Linked DNA regions of Callithrix jacchus. The protein of the gene in region 1 purifies or fractionates together with the protein of each later gene. This does not show direct contact. Links are inferred from orthologs where the notes say so. Each region holds a gene or a part of one and is shown in the gene's direction. Other genes may lie near its edges. The genes, in order: UBQLN2, PSMD2 and HERPUD1.

Evidence for each region.
Region 2: the proteins of UBQLN2 (region 1) and PSMD2 purify together in Homo sapiens (affinity purification with mass spectrometry, with the first as the bait; 3 studies listed by BioGRID). This does not show direct contact. The link is inferred for Callithrix jacchus from reciprocal best matches to the Homo sapiens genes UBQLN2 and PSMD2.
Region 3: the proteins of UBQLN2 (region 1) and HERPUD1 purify together in Homo sapiens (affinity purification with mass spectrometry; 3 studies listed by BioGRID, with this or other methods). This does not show direct contact. The link is inferred for Callithrix jacchus from reciprocal best matches to the Homo sapiens genes UBQLN2 and HERPUD1.

The regions. Positions count from the first base shown.
Region 1 is NC_133524.1:56,702,384-56,706,129, forward strand, and holds the start of UBQLN2 (ubiquilin-2), read left to right. Parts: upstream 1-906; 5' UTR 907-1,191; coding exon 1,192-3,066; 3' UTR 3,067-3,746. UniProt on the Homo sapiens protein: Plays an important role in the regulation of different protein degradation mechanisms and pathways including ubiquitin-proteasome system (UPS), autophagy and the endoplasmic reticulum-associated protein degradation (ERAD) pathway.
Region 2 is NC_133516.1:13,275,276-13,279,021, forward strand, and holds the start of PSMD2 (26S proteasome non-ATPase regulatory subunit 2), read left to right. Parts: upstream 1-1,020; 5' UTR 1,021-1,033; coding exon 1,034-1,168; intron 1,169-1,583; coding exon 1,584-1,640; intron 1,641-2,012; coding exon 2,013-2,177; intron 2,178-3,425; coding exon 3,426-3,547; intron 3,548-3,726; coding exon 3,727-3,746. UniProt on the Homo sapiens protein: Component of the 26S proteasome, a multiprotein complex involved in the ATP-dependent degradation of ubiquitinated proteins.
Region 3 is NC_133521.1:14,807,390-14,811,135, forward strand, and holds the start of HERPUD1 (homocysteine-responsive endoplasmic reticulum-resident ubiquitin-like domain member 1 protein), read left to right. Parts: upstream 1-899; coding exon 900-1,046; intron 1,047-3,746. Other genes in the region: uncharacterized protein LOC118149719, read right to left, coding at 31-901. UniProt on the Homo sapiens protein: Component of the endoplasmic reticulum quality control (ERQC) system also called ER-associated degradation (ERAD) involved in ubiquitin-dependent degradation of misfolded endoplasmic reticulum proteins.

The DNA.
Region 1 (3,746 bases):
TATAGTTTATTTCATATTTACCTTTAAAGACACTGTGTATTTTCTTGTGTGATAATATCATAATGTGCTCGACTAATCTCATGTAAACCGATATTTTAAATATTTAAATAACGTTTTAAAATGCTACAACGTATATACATTCTATACATAAATATTTTTGCATCCTTATCTGATTATTTTCTTAGGTGAGTGTCTAGGTTAGGCATTTCTAAATAAAGGTGGAAACATTCGAAATGCTGATATATATTTTCAAATTGCCCTGTGATTGTAACAATTCACACTTCAGCTAGCCTGAGAGTGCATTTTTTAGGGGTCCCTGTCAACAGGAAGGTTTACCATTATTTTTTTCCCCTGCCAATATAACCCAAAAGTAGAATTTTATTGTTTTAACTTGAATTTTTTTTTGATTACTAGTGAGATTAATCGTCCTTTTTTAATGTCTATTGACCATTTGCACTCCTTTTGTAAAATGCATGCTCCTGCTGTCTTCTTCCCTTCCCCCATTGGGGGTTGTTCCTCCTTTCTTTTTGCTTTGTCAGAGTTCTTTATTATTCATTTTTCGTCTTTTACGTGGGATCGGTTCGAATCAGGCTTTCACCCTTTTACTGCCTTACAGATTTCTAATGTTTATTCTCCATCGGTCTTTTAATGTCGTTTACAGAAGCTGACTCTCTACCGCCGCCTTCTCTCCGTCCCACCCTCTCTGCCTCGCCTGCTCTGTACTGTTCTGTTCTGTTCTCTCTCTCCCTTTGTTTCTCTCTCTCCCTTTTTTTTTTCTTTTCAGTGCAGAAGTTTTTAATTTTGACCGAGCCAAATCTATCAATCTAGGCCTGGCGCCGCGTCAGCAGAGAGGGCGGGGAGGCGAGCGCGGAACTGGGGGAGGGGAAGGGGCGGGGAGCAGCAGGCGGAGCGGCTGCCGGAGTTGCTGGGAGTGCGCGCGGTCGGATCACAAGGCGGCGGCGGAGGAGGCCTAGAGACTGGAGCGCGGAACCTCAGCCCGCGGCCTACGCCCAGTCCTTTCTCCGGAGGACCACGGAACCACAGTCTTCATCACAGAGGTACCGTGCTCCGCGCTCCCCGCCCGACCCGGCCCAGCCCGCTACGGCGGCGCCTCCTTCCTTCCTCCTTCCCTCGCTCTCTCTCTTTCGCCGGCCCGCGCCTTTCCTGCCCGCCTGCGTCACCGCGGCCGCCATGGCTGAGAATGGCGAGAGCAGCGGCCCCCCACGCCCCTCCCGCGGCCCTGCTGCGGCCCAAGGCTCGGCTGCTGCCCCGGCGGAGCCTAAAATCATCAAAGTCACTGTGAAGACTCCCAAAGAGAAAGAGGAGTTCGCGGTGCCCGAGAATAGCTCGGTCCAGCAGTTTAAGGAAGCGATTTCGAAACGCTTCAAATCCCAAACCGATCAGCTAGTGCTGATTTTTGCCGGAAAAATCTTAAAAGATCAAGATACCTTGATCCAGCACGGCATCCATGATGGGCTGACTGTTCACCTTGTCATCAAGAGTCAGAACCGACCTCAGGGCCAGACCACGCAGCCTAGCAATGCCGCGGGAACTAACACTACCTCGGCGTCGACTCCCAGGAGTAACTCCACACCTATTTCCACAAATAGCAACCCGTTTGGGTTGGGGAGCCTGGGAGGACTGGCAGGCCTTAGCAGCCTGGGCTTGAGCTCGACCAACTTCTCTGAGCTCCAGAGCCAGATGCAGCAGCAACTCATGGCCAGCCCTGAGATGATGATCCAAATCATGGAAAATCCCTTTGTTCAGAGCATGCTTTCGAATCCCGATCTGATGAGGCAGCTCATTATGGCTAATCCACAGATGCAGCAATTGATTCAGAGAAACCCAGAAATCAGTCACCTGCTCAACAACCCAGATATAATGAGGCAGACACTCGAAATTGCCAGGAATCCAGCCATGATGCAAGAGATGATGAGAAATCAAGACCTGGCTCTTAGCAATCTCGAAAGCATCCCAGGTGGCTATAATGCTTTACGGCGCATGTACACTGACATTCAAGAGCCGATGCTGAATGCTGCACAAGAGCAGTTTGGGGGTAATCCGTTTGCCTCTGTGGGGAGTAGTTCCTCCTCTGGAGAAGGTACGCAGCCTTCCCGCACAGAAAATCGTGATCCACTACCCAATCCATGGGCACCACCGCCAGCTACCCAGAGTTCTGCAACTACCAGCACGACCACGAGCACTGGTAGTGGGTCTGGCAATAGTTCCAGCAATGCTACTGGGAACACCGTTGCTGCAGCTAATTATGTCGCCAGTATCTTTAGTACCCCAGGCATGCAGAGCCTGCTGCAACAGATAACTGAAAACCCCCAGCTGATTCAGAATATGCTGTCGGCGCCCTACATGAGAAGCATGATGCAGTCGCTGAGCCAGAATCCAGATTTGGCTGCACAGATGATGCTGAATAGCCCGCTGTTTACTGCAAATCCTCAGCTGCAGGAGCAGATGCGTCCACAGCTCCCAGCCTTCCTGCAGCAGATGCAGAATCCAGATACACTATCTGCCATGTCAAACCCTAGAGCAATGCAGGCTTTAATGCAGATCCAGCAGGGGCTACAGACATTAGCCACTGAAGCACCTGGCCTCATTCCAAGCTTCACTCCAGGTGTGGGGGTGGGGGTGCTGGGAACCGCCATAGGCCCTGTAGGCCCAGTCACCCCCATAGGCCCCATAGGCCCTATAGTCCCTTTTACCCCCATAGGCCCAATTGGGCCCATAGGACCCACTGGCCCTGCAGGCCCCCCTGGCTCCACCGGCTCTGGTGGTCCCACCGGTCCTACTGTGTCCAGCGCTGCACCCAGTGAAACCACGAGTCCTACATCAGAATCTGGACCCAACCAGCAGTTCATTCAGCAAATGGTGCAGGCTCTGGCTGGAGCCAGTGCTCCACAGCTGCCGAATCCAGAAGTCAGATTTCAGCAACAACTGGAACAGCTCAACGCAATGGGGTTCTTAAACCGTGAAGCAAACTTGCAGGCCCTAATAGCAACAGGAGGCGACATCAATGCAGCCATTGAAAGGCTGCTGGGCTCCCAGCCATCTTAATTACATTTCTGTACCTGGAAAAAAAATGTATCTTATTTTTGATAATGGCTCTTAAATCTTTAAACACACACACACAAAATCGTTCTTTACTTTCATTTTGATTCTTTTAAATCTGTCTAGTTATAAGTCTAATATGATGCATTTTAAGATGGAGTCCCTCCCTCCTACTTCCCTCACTCCCTTTCTCCTTTGATTATTTTTCCTTCCTTCCCTTCCTCTTGTGTCCCCCTCCCTCCCTCTTTGTTTCCTTCCTTCCTTCTTTCCTTTAGTTTCCTTTCTTATCTGTTTTGAATGGTGGGAATCAATGCTGTTTCACTCAAAAGTGTTGCATGCAAACACTTTCTTTATTCTGCATTTATTGTGATTTTTGGAAACAGGTATCAACCTTCACAGTTGGGTGAACAAGTGTTGTCCTACAGATGTCCAATTTATTTGCATTTTTAAACATTAGCCTATGATAGTAATTTAATGTAGAATGAAGATATTAAAATCAGAAGCAAATTATTTGAAGCTCTCTAATTTGTGGTACGATATTGCTTATTGTGACTTTGGCATGTATTTTTGCTAGCAAAATGCTGTAAGATTTATACCATTCATTGATCTTTTTTGCTATATTTGTACACAGTACAGTAGGCACAATTGGAACTGTACATCTAAAAACATTACAGTAGAATTTCTGA
Region 2 (3,746 bases), on another chromosome or scaffold:
CTTCACAGGGAAAGACGAGAAGATATAGAGTAGGAAGACCTTGTCTTGTTCTGCTTTTAGCTCCAGAATTTGGCGCGAAGCACAGGACTTTATTGACCGACTTCTACTCCATTTGGCTCCCCAAAGGATTTAAAATGGTAGCCACGGGAATAGCAGAGTACTCTCATTCAACTGGGAAGGAATATCAAATGAGGTTAATAGGCCGGGCGCGATGGCTCACGCCTGTAATTCCAGCACTTTGGGAGGCCAAAGCAGGCGGGTCACTTGAGGTCAGGAGTTTGAGACCAGCCTAGCCAACATAGTGAAACCCCGTTTCTACTAAAAATACAAAAATCAGCGGGGTGTGGTGGTGGGCACCTGTAATCCCAGCTACTCGGAAGGCTGAGGCAGGAGAATCGCTTGAACCCGGTAGGCGGAGGTTGCAGTGAGCTGAGATCGCGCCACTGCACTCCAGCCTGGGTGACACTGCGAGACTCCGTCTCAAAAACACCACCACCAAATGAAGTTAATATTCCACAGTGGTGTGGGCTAGACAGTTAACACAGAGGTTAAACAGGCGGCTATCAAGCGTCCAGGATTTCAAGAAATCCAGTGTGTCTGTCGCGCCACGCAGCCAACTGGAGTGTCACTGTGGGTTCTATTTACACCGTTATGAGAAAAACCTACCACCGAAAAATCTCGGTGTCTGGGATCGCAGACCGCCCTTCTACAGCAGCCAGCGCACCCAAACCCCACAGGGCGAAGTCCCGCGGCTTTCAGGAAACTCCGGGGAGGAGGGGGTCGGGTGGCGCCTACGGCGCGGGGGACGCTGGGAGTGTCAGTCTTCGCCGGCCTCCGGGGGCCGGGTCCGAGGCCCGGGCTCTCAGGCCGCGGGGGTGGGTGGGTCGCCGCGCGCCGGGGCTCGCCCCGGCGTTTCCGGTCGCAGGCTGGCTCTGGAGGAGGAGGGGCGCCGTGGCGGAGGCGCGCGAGGCTGTCTGGGAAAAAGGGAGGTGTGAACTGGTGCGCGCGCAGCGAGGCGGCAGTAGCGGCGGAGATGGAAGAAGGAGGTCGGGACAAGGCGCCGGTGCAGCCCCAGCAGTCCCCGGCGGCGGCCCCCGGCGGCGCGGACGAGAAGCCGAGCGGCAAGGAGCGGCGGGATGCCGGGGACAAGGACAAAGAGCAGGAGCTGGTGAGGCGCGGCCCGGAGAGCCGGCGGAGGAGGCCGCGGGGCTGAGTCACGGCGGCTCCGCAGGCCTTAGCCCCGACTCCCAACGGCCCCACCGCACCAGGGAGAGGGCTGCTGGGGCGACCCCCGGGACTCCCGGCACCCTGACTCTCTGCTCCTCATTCCTCCATTCCGCGCTGTCACCTCTGCCGTCCCCACCAACTCTCACCACCGCCGCGTGAGGTGGGCTCGGGCGGGTCATTGTCACCTCGGTTTCCTAGACTGGCATTCAGGTAGAGCCTGGTTCAGAACCCAGGCTGATTTCCCACCAGGCTCCCCATTCCTACTCTGTTTCCTTGTCCACCTGGCCCGGGTAAGTGGGAGGAGGACGTCTTTGGGATTCCTTCTCTACTTGAGCTTGTTTCTCCCAATCCTCCAGTCCGAGGAGGATAAACAGCTTCAAGATGAACTGGAGATGCTCGTGGAACGACTGGGGGTGAGTCACGAGGTTAACATGATTCCGTGCACGTTTGGATCTTTCCCACCTGTTTTATTCCGTTTTGAGGCAACTCCTGTGTGCGGTGGGCTGTATTTTAGGATCAGTGTTATGATGATGTTGGGAGGCAGGAGAATTGCAAAGGGTATTTGTACAGTTTTGTAGCTTTCTTTGTGGGAGAAGCAGAGTTCCTAACTTTTAACTTGGGTCATTTGTTTCTGTGCCAGGCAGGGTGCAGGGAGTTAAGGAATCACAGGTGAATGAATAAGACACAGCTATTTCCTTGGGGGAGTTGTTAAATTAAATATCTCTGTGTTATGACTTGGAGGGGTGTGACTCCTTTTTGTCTGAGCCCTATCATCTTTTGATCAGGAGAAGGACACATCCCTGTATCGACCAGCGCTGGAGGAATTGCGAAGGCAGATTCGTTCTTCTACGACTTCCATGACTTCAGTGCCCAAGCCTCTCAAATTTCTGCGCCCACACTATGGCAAACTAAAGGAAATCTATGAGAACATGGCCCCTGGGGAGAATAAGGTAAAACTGTTTCAAACCTGGTGGAGGCCTCGTTTAGGAATTCTTTTTACTCAGACCATGGGGCTCGTTGTGAGTCACAGGAAGCCTGATAGACCTAAGGCCTGATCTCTTTGAGCGAGTTCATCATAGTCAAAATGTCCACAAAAGAGCTGAGAGGAGGATCAGCTTCTCAGAAGATACTGTTTCTGTCATTTGTGTTGGACTTTAGGGTTTCATTAGCATGGGTTATTTTTAACTCATGTTTAACCTTGATTTTTCTCTTTCCTTCTCTCCCATGTACATTCATGTCTAAAATATGCTCCACATTCAGTCACTTCTCTGCCTGCTGGTGCAACCCTAATCCTGGAGATGTTCGGTTTTTGCATGGGCTGTTGCAGCACCTCTTAACTGGCGTTCTTGCTGTTGTCCTTTTCTCCTATACAGTCTGTCTTTCACCTAGCACCTATCCTGATCTTTGTTGGTTGTGGGTCTTTTCTGTGTAAAACCTTTTAATAGCTTATAATTGTAATTAAACTAAAATTAAGAGCTTTCATTTTTCTCCACATTATCCCTTGTTTATCACCCTTCAGCTGTGTTAATTTAAAAGGGAGGTAGTGGCGGGGCACGATGGCTCACACCTGTAACCCCAACACTTTGGGGGGCTGAGGTGGGCAGATCACCTGAGGTCAGGAGTTAAAGACCAGCCTGGCCAACATGGTGAAATCCCGTCGCTACTAAGTATACAAAAAAAAAAAAAAAAATTAGCCAGACTTGGTGGCGGGCAACTATAATCCCAGCTATACACAGGAGGCTGATGCAGGATAATCACTTGAACTGTCAGGCAGCGGTTCCATTGAGCCAAGAGCACACCATTGCACTCCAGCCTGGGTGACAAGAGCGAAACTCTGTCTCAAAAAAAAAATGGAGGTGGGGAGGGATAGCCTGGGGAGAAATGCCAAATGTGGGTGAAGGGGAGAAGAAAAGCAAAGCACACTGCCATGTGTGTACCTACGCAACTGTCTTGCATGCTCTGCTCATGTACCCCAAAACCTATAATCCAATAAAAAATTAAAAAAAAAAAAAAAAAAAAAAAAAAATGGAGATAGCAACACCAACCTTGGTTTTTGTGAGGTTTGGCTTAGATGGCCTGTTAAATTTTTTGTACTATCTACATAGCTAATTTGGGAGACAATGATCTTGATTCCATGATGCATGCTCCCCTAATGCTGGACTGCTGGGTTTGACTTCAAAGGAATGTTTTCTTTATAGCGTTTTGCTGCTGACATCATCTCTGTTTTGGCCATGACCGTGAGTGGGGAACGTGAGTGCCTCAAGTATCGGCTAGTGGGCTCCCAGGAGGAATTGGCATCATGGGGTCATGAGTATGTCAGGTAAGATCTTTTCTTCTTGGGAATCTGAAGGGGGCTCTGAGTCTCTAGGATAATTTAGAATCCAGAGTACTGTCTATCTTGGAGTATCTGTGTATTGAATTTCCCAGACAATGCATTTCTTGACCCACAGAGAAGTGCATCCCCTGAAGCTATACTTAATGGTCTGGGTGTATCTGTAGGCATCTGGCAGGAGAAGTGG
Region 3 (3,746 bases), on another chromosome or scaffold:
CCCCAATTAAAGGGTGCATGTGTATCTTACAAAGTGATGCCCTTTTGGCAGGGACTCCCAGTGTGAGCAGGGCTGTGGCTGACTTGTCAATCATCATATAGGTTATGTCCCAAACGTGCAAGTCAGAAGCCCACGGAAATTGGCAACAGCTGCCTGGATGCCTCCATCCTCCCAGCCCAAGGAAGATCAGGCCTCCCTCCTTCGTTGTCCTTCCTATGAGCACGTGACGTTCTCCTGGGTGGACTTGCACAACGGGTTGCCCAGCTGTTCTTTGAGGGTCAGGTGGAGAGTCTTCCCCTATAGGACGGGCTTCCCCGGGAGGTTTCCATGTGGGGCCACCTGAGGCAGGAAAAGGAGAAGTGGACACTGGCACCTGGGGTGAAAAAGGGCGGGGGTGCAGCTTTGTGAGGAAACAATTTGAGGAGACTGCTAAACTGGGGTCTGCTGGGATACACCGCTCCCACCCCCTGCCTCGGGCGCCCTCAGTCACCCGAGCTGGGGGCCCCTCAAGTCTCAGGCCAAGCCCTCGCGCGCTTAGCGCGGGCCGCAGCGCACCCAAACATGGCCGCCAAACCCAGGTTCCCGGGGCGCAGCCGAGCCTGAGGGTGACGCAGCGGCGGCGGGTTGCATCAGCCCGCGCCCACGTGCTTGGTCCGCCCTCTGCCTCCCGGATCCGGACGCCGATTGGGCCACGTTGGGACAGTGTCTCCGCCTCAGCCAATGGGCAGCAGCCACAGAGGGTTCTGTCCGCAGAGCCGAGCGCGGGGAGCCCATAAAAGGCTCCCGAGAGTGGGGCGCGTGCCCCAGGGACGCCAACAGTCGTTGCGGAGTTTGCGGGCGGGTGCGACACCGCCTCTTGGCACCTCGGAGCGCAGCTGAGCCCCGACACAGCCGCCGCCATGGAGTCCGAGCCCGATCCCGAGCCCGTCACGCTCCTGGTGAAGAGCCCCAACCAGCGCCACCGCGACTTGGAGCTGAGCGGCGATCGCAGCTGGAGCGTTGGCCACCTCAAGGCCCATCTGAGCCGCGTCTACCCTGAGCGTCCGGTGAGAGCCGCCCCGACTTCCCGCCCCGAGGCTGTGGCCCCCAGTGCCGCCGCGTCCGCCTGCCCTGCCCTGTGGCCTCCCCCTCCGCCGGCCTTCCCTAGACGGCTGCGTTCGCCGGGTCGGTCACGTGCCCCAGGGCTGTGGTCTCCCCTTCCCTGCCCCGCCGCCGCGGGCGCCCCTCTCTTGCCCAGGGACCGTCACTAATCAGCAGCCTGACCTTAGGCGAGTCGTTTCACCCTCCAAGCCTGCTTCCCCCCAGCGGTCAGGCAACTCGGTGGTTCCTAACTGGGCTTGCACCCAACGGCTAGGAGTAAGAAAACATCCGTGCTGCAAAATGAGGGTTGTGAACGCAACCTCCCCGCGGGAGAGAAGCGGGCAGGTGCCACCCGGAGCGGTGGCTTGAGAAACCTGGGGAGCACCCAGACCCTGTGGACGGAAGGGCCCACACCCAGAAGCAGGACGTGGCTCTTCTCCCTGTCTACCTTCCGCCGGGCCCCTCCCTGTCGCACTGGACCGCGCAGCCGTTGCCGAGTCCCGGGGAGGAGCCCCGTGCACTTTCTGGCCAAGTGCGACTGAGAAGGGAAGCAGGCAGTAGTCGCCTTCAGTCTGGTTTTAGGACGGCAGCCTCTCCATTATTAGCGAGACTTCTTTGCTTTGTTTTGGTTGACGCATCTGTCAACATCACCCTTAGCACCGCCTGCCCTGGCCGCCACGTGATGAGGCTGTAAGCTGGCCCTTCCTGTATTTACTTTCTGCTCCGATATTATGTAAGTGTCAGCAGTGTTCTTCACTGCCCACGAGCATAATTCTCTATCACACAGGAGAGGGCATCCAGGCAGGAAAAGATCGTGTAACCCGAGTTCCAACTTTTGGTTGGAACTCACCTGTGTCTGTTTTTGTTCCATGTGGTCAAGAAGGTAGAAGTGAGTTTTCCTTCTGAGTTGTTGTTTTGAAATTTGCATATTGATTTAGTACGCGTGTATTCCATGTCCTGTGGAATTCACCCTGGTACACTTTTCGGTTTCACCAGAGCTGCGTCCAGAAACTGGGTGGCTGTGTTGCCATGAGAATGTCTGTTGGGTACACAAATTGGTGAAGCAGGTGTTGCCTATGGTTGCATCATATGGTAAAAGGCAGGGTTTCGGAGAAGGGTTTTTCTTAAGGGCTTGCTTTGGTGACGGACGCCAGTCCCATCTCTTCAGTCTAAAGACCTAAGATTGTAAATAAATATCTCTCAGGTATACAAATTTGTGTCTAAAAATTATTATGGCTGAAACATATTTATCACTTGTTTTCTGTGGTAGAAAATGGTATACTGTGAGAAGCCCTACTTTGTAATAGTTGTGCTTAATTTTTTCTCAAATCAGCCATTTGAGTGAAGACTCAATGTCAAGTTAGGCCTTTAAAAAGGGTGGAAATAATTCAAAATCACTGGCAGCTGTGGTTTTCAAGCCTTTTCTAGTGGTTGAACTCTAATAAACACAGAGCCATACATATCTAATAGATACTGTTTTACAAATTCATATATAAGCATGTACCTTTAACATTCTCACCTGTCAGTGAGAAAAACGGTGAACCCAGCATTCAGTATATTTTGGTTTAGTTACAGTGTCAAAAAGTCCTGATGTATATGGATAAGTAGATGGACTTTTGGCTTTGTTTGTTTTAAACAGCTTGCTTTAATTATCTCAAGCTGTTGGCAGGAACACCTTTATTCCAGGTTTTGCATAATCAGTTATGCTGGCAAGAGTAGGTATACACGTTGCTGATCTCCAATGGACAGACAGATTATATGTTAATATTTGAGGCCATTATTTTTAAGTACAGTTTAGAGGGAGTTTCAAAGAGATTTTTAAAATGAGATTTGTATAAAAGAATGTGCAGTCCCTATGGCATTAAAATCGCTGATATGGAGGAGAAGAGGGTTTGGAATTGTGACACTGGCAGCAGATGACCTTGGAAAAGTAAATTTTTCAGACTTTCCTCCCTTAAAATAGGGATACTGAATCTCACAGGGTTGTTGTATATAATGTCACCCACACACCATTTCCTCTATAACTGCATTTGTATGCCAAGAAATCCTCTATAAAGGCTTAAGTTTAGAATAGCTTCATATTATTCTGGGGCACTGCTAGGTGATTTTGGTGAAGGCTGGCCTTGGGAGTACTCTGAGTTTTTCCTGAAACCAAACTCAGTTGCTGTAGGAGCCCTGTTCGCTGTTTGTTGTTGTTATGAAAATCAGTTTACATGGGAGTTAAGAAGTATGTTGCCCTACATAGGTTTGGACTGGAGATAATTTACCTGTTTTTTTTTTTTTTTTTTTTTTGATATAGGGTCTCTCTCTGTACAATTCCCCTGTCTCAGCCTCCCGAGTAGCTTGGATTACAGGTGCAAGCCACCATGCCCAGCTAATTTTTACATTTTTAGTAGAGGCAGGGTTTCACCATGTTGGCCACTCTGGTCTCGAACTCCTGACCTAAGGTGATCTGCCCACCTTGGCCTCCCAAAGTGCTTGGAGTATAGGCATGAGCCACTGTACCCAGCCGATAATTTGCCATTCTGTATTTATTTGCATGTTAGAGACCGGTTAAAGTTAGGTACTTTCTAAATAGAAGTTTTGTATATGGAGCCTTTGAAAAAGTGTTTTCCCGTGATGCTGGGGTGAAACATACATATTCAAATTATTTGTATAAAACAGTT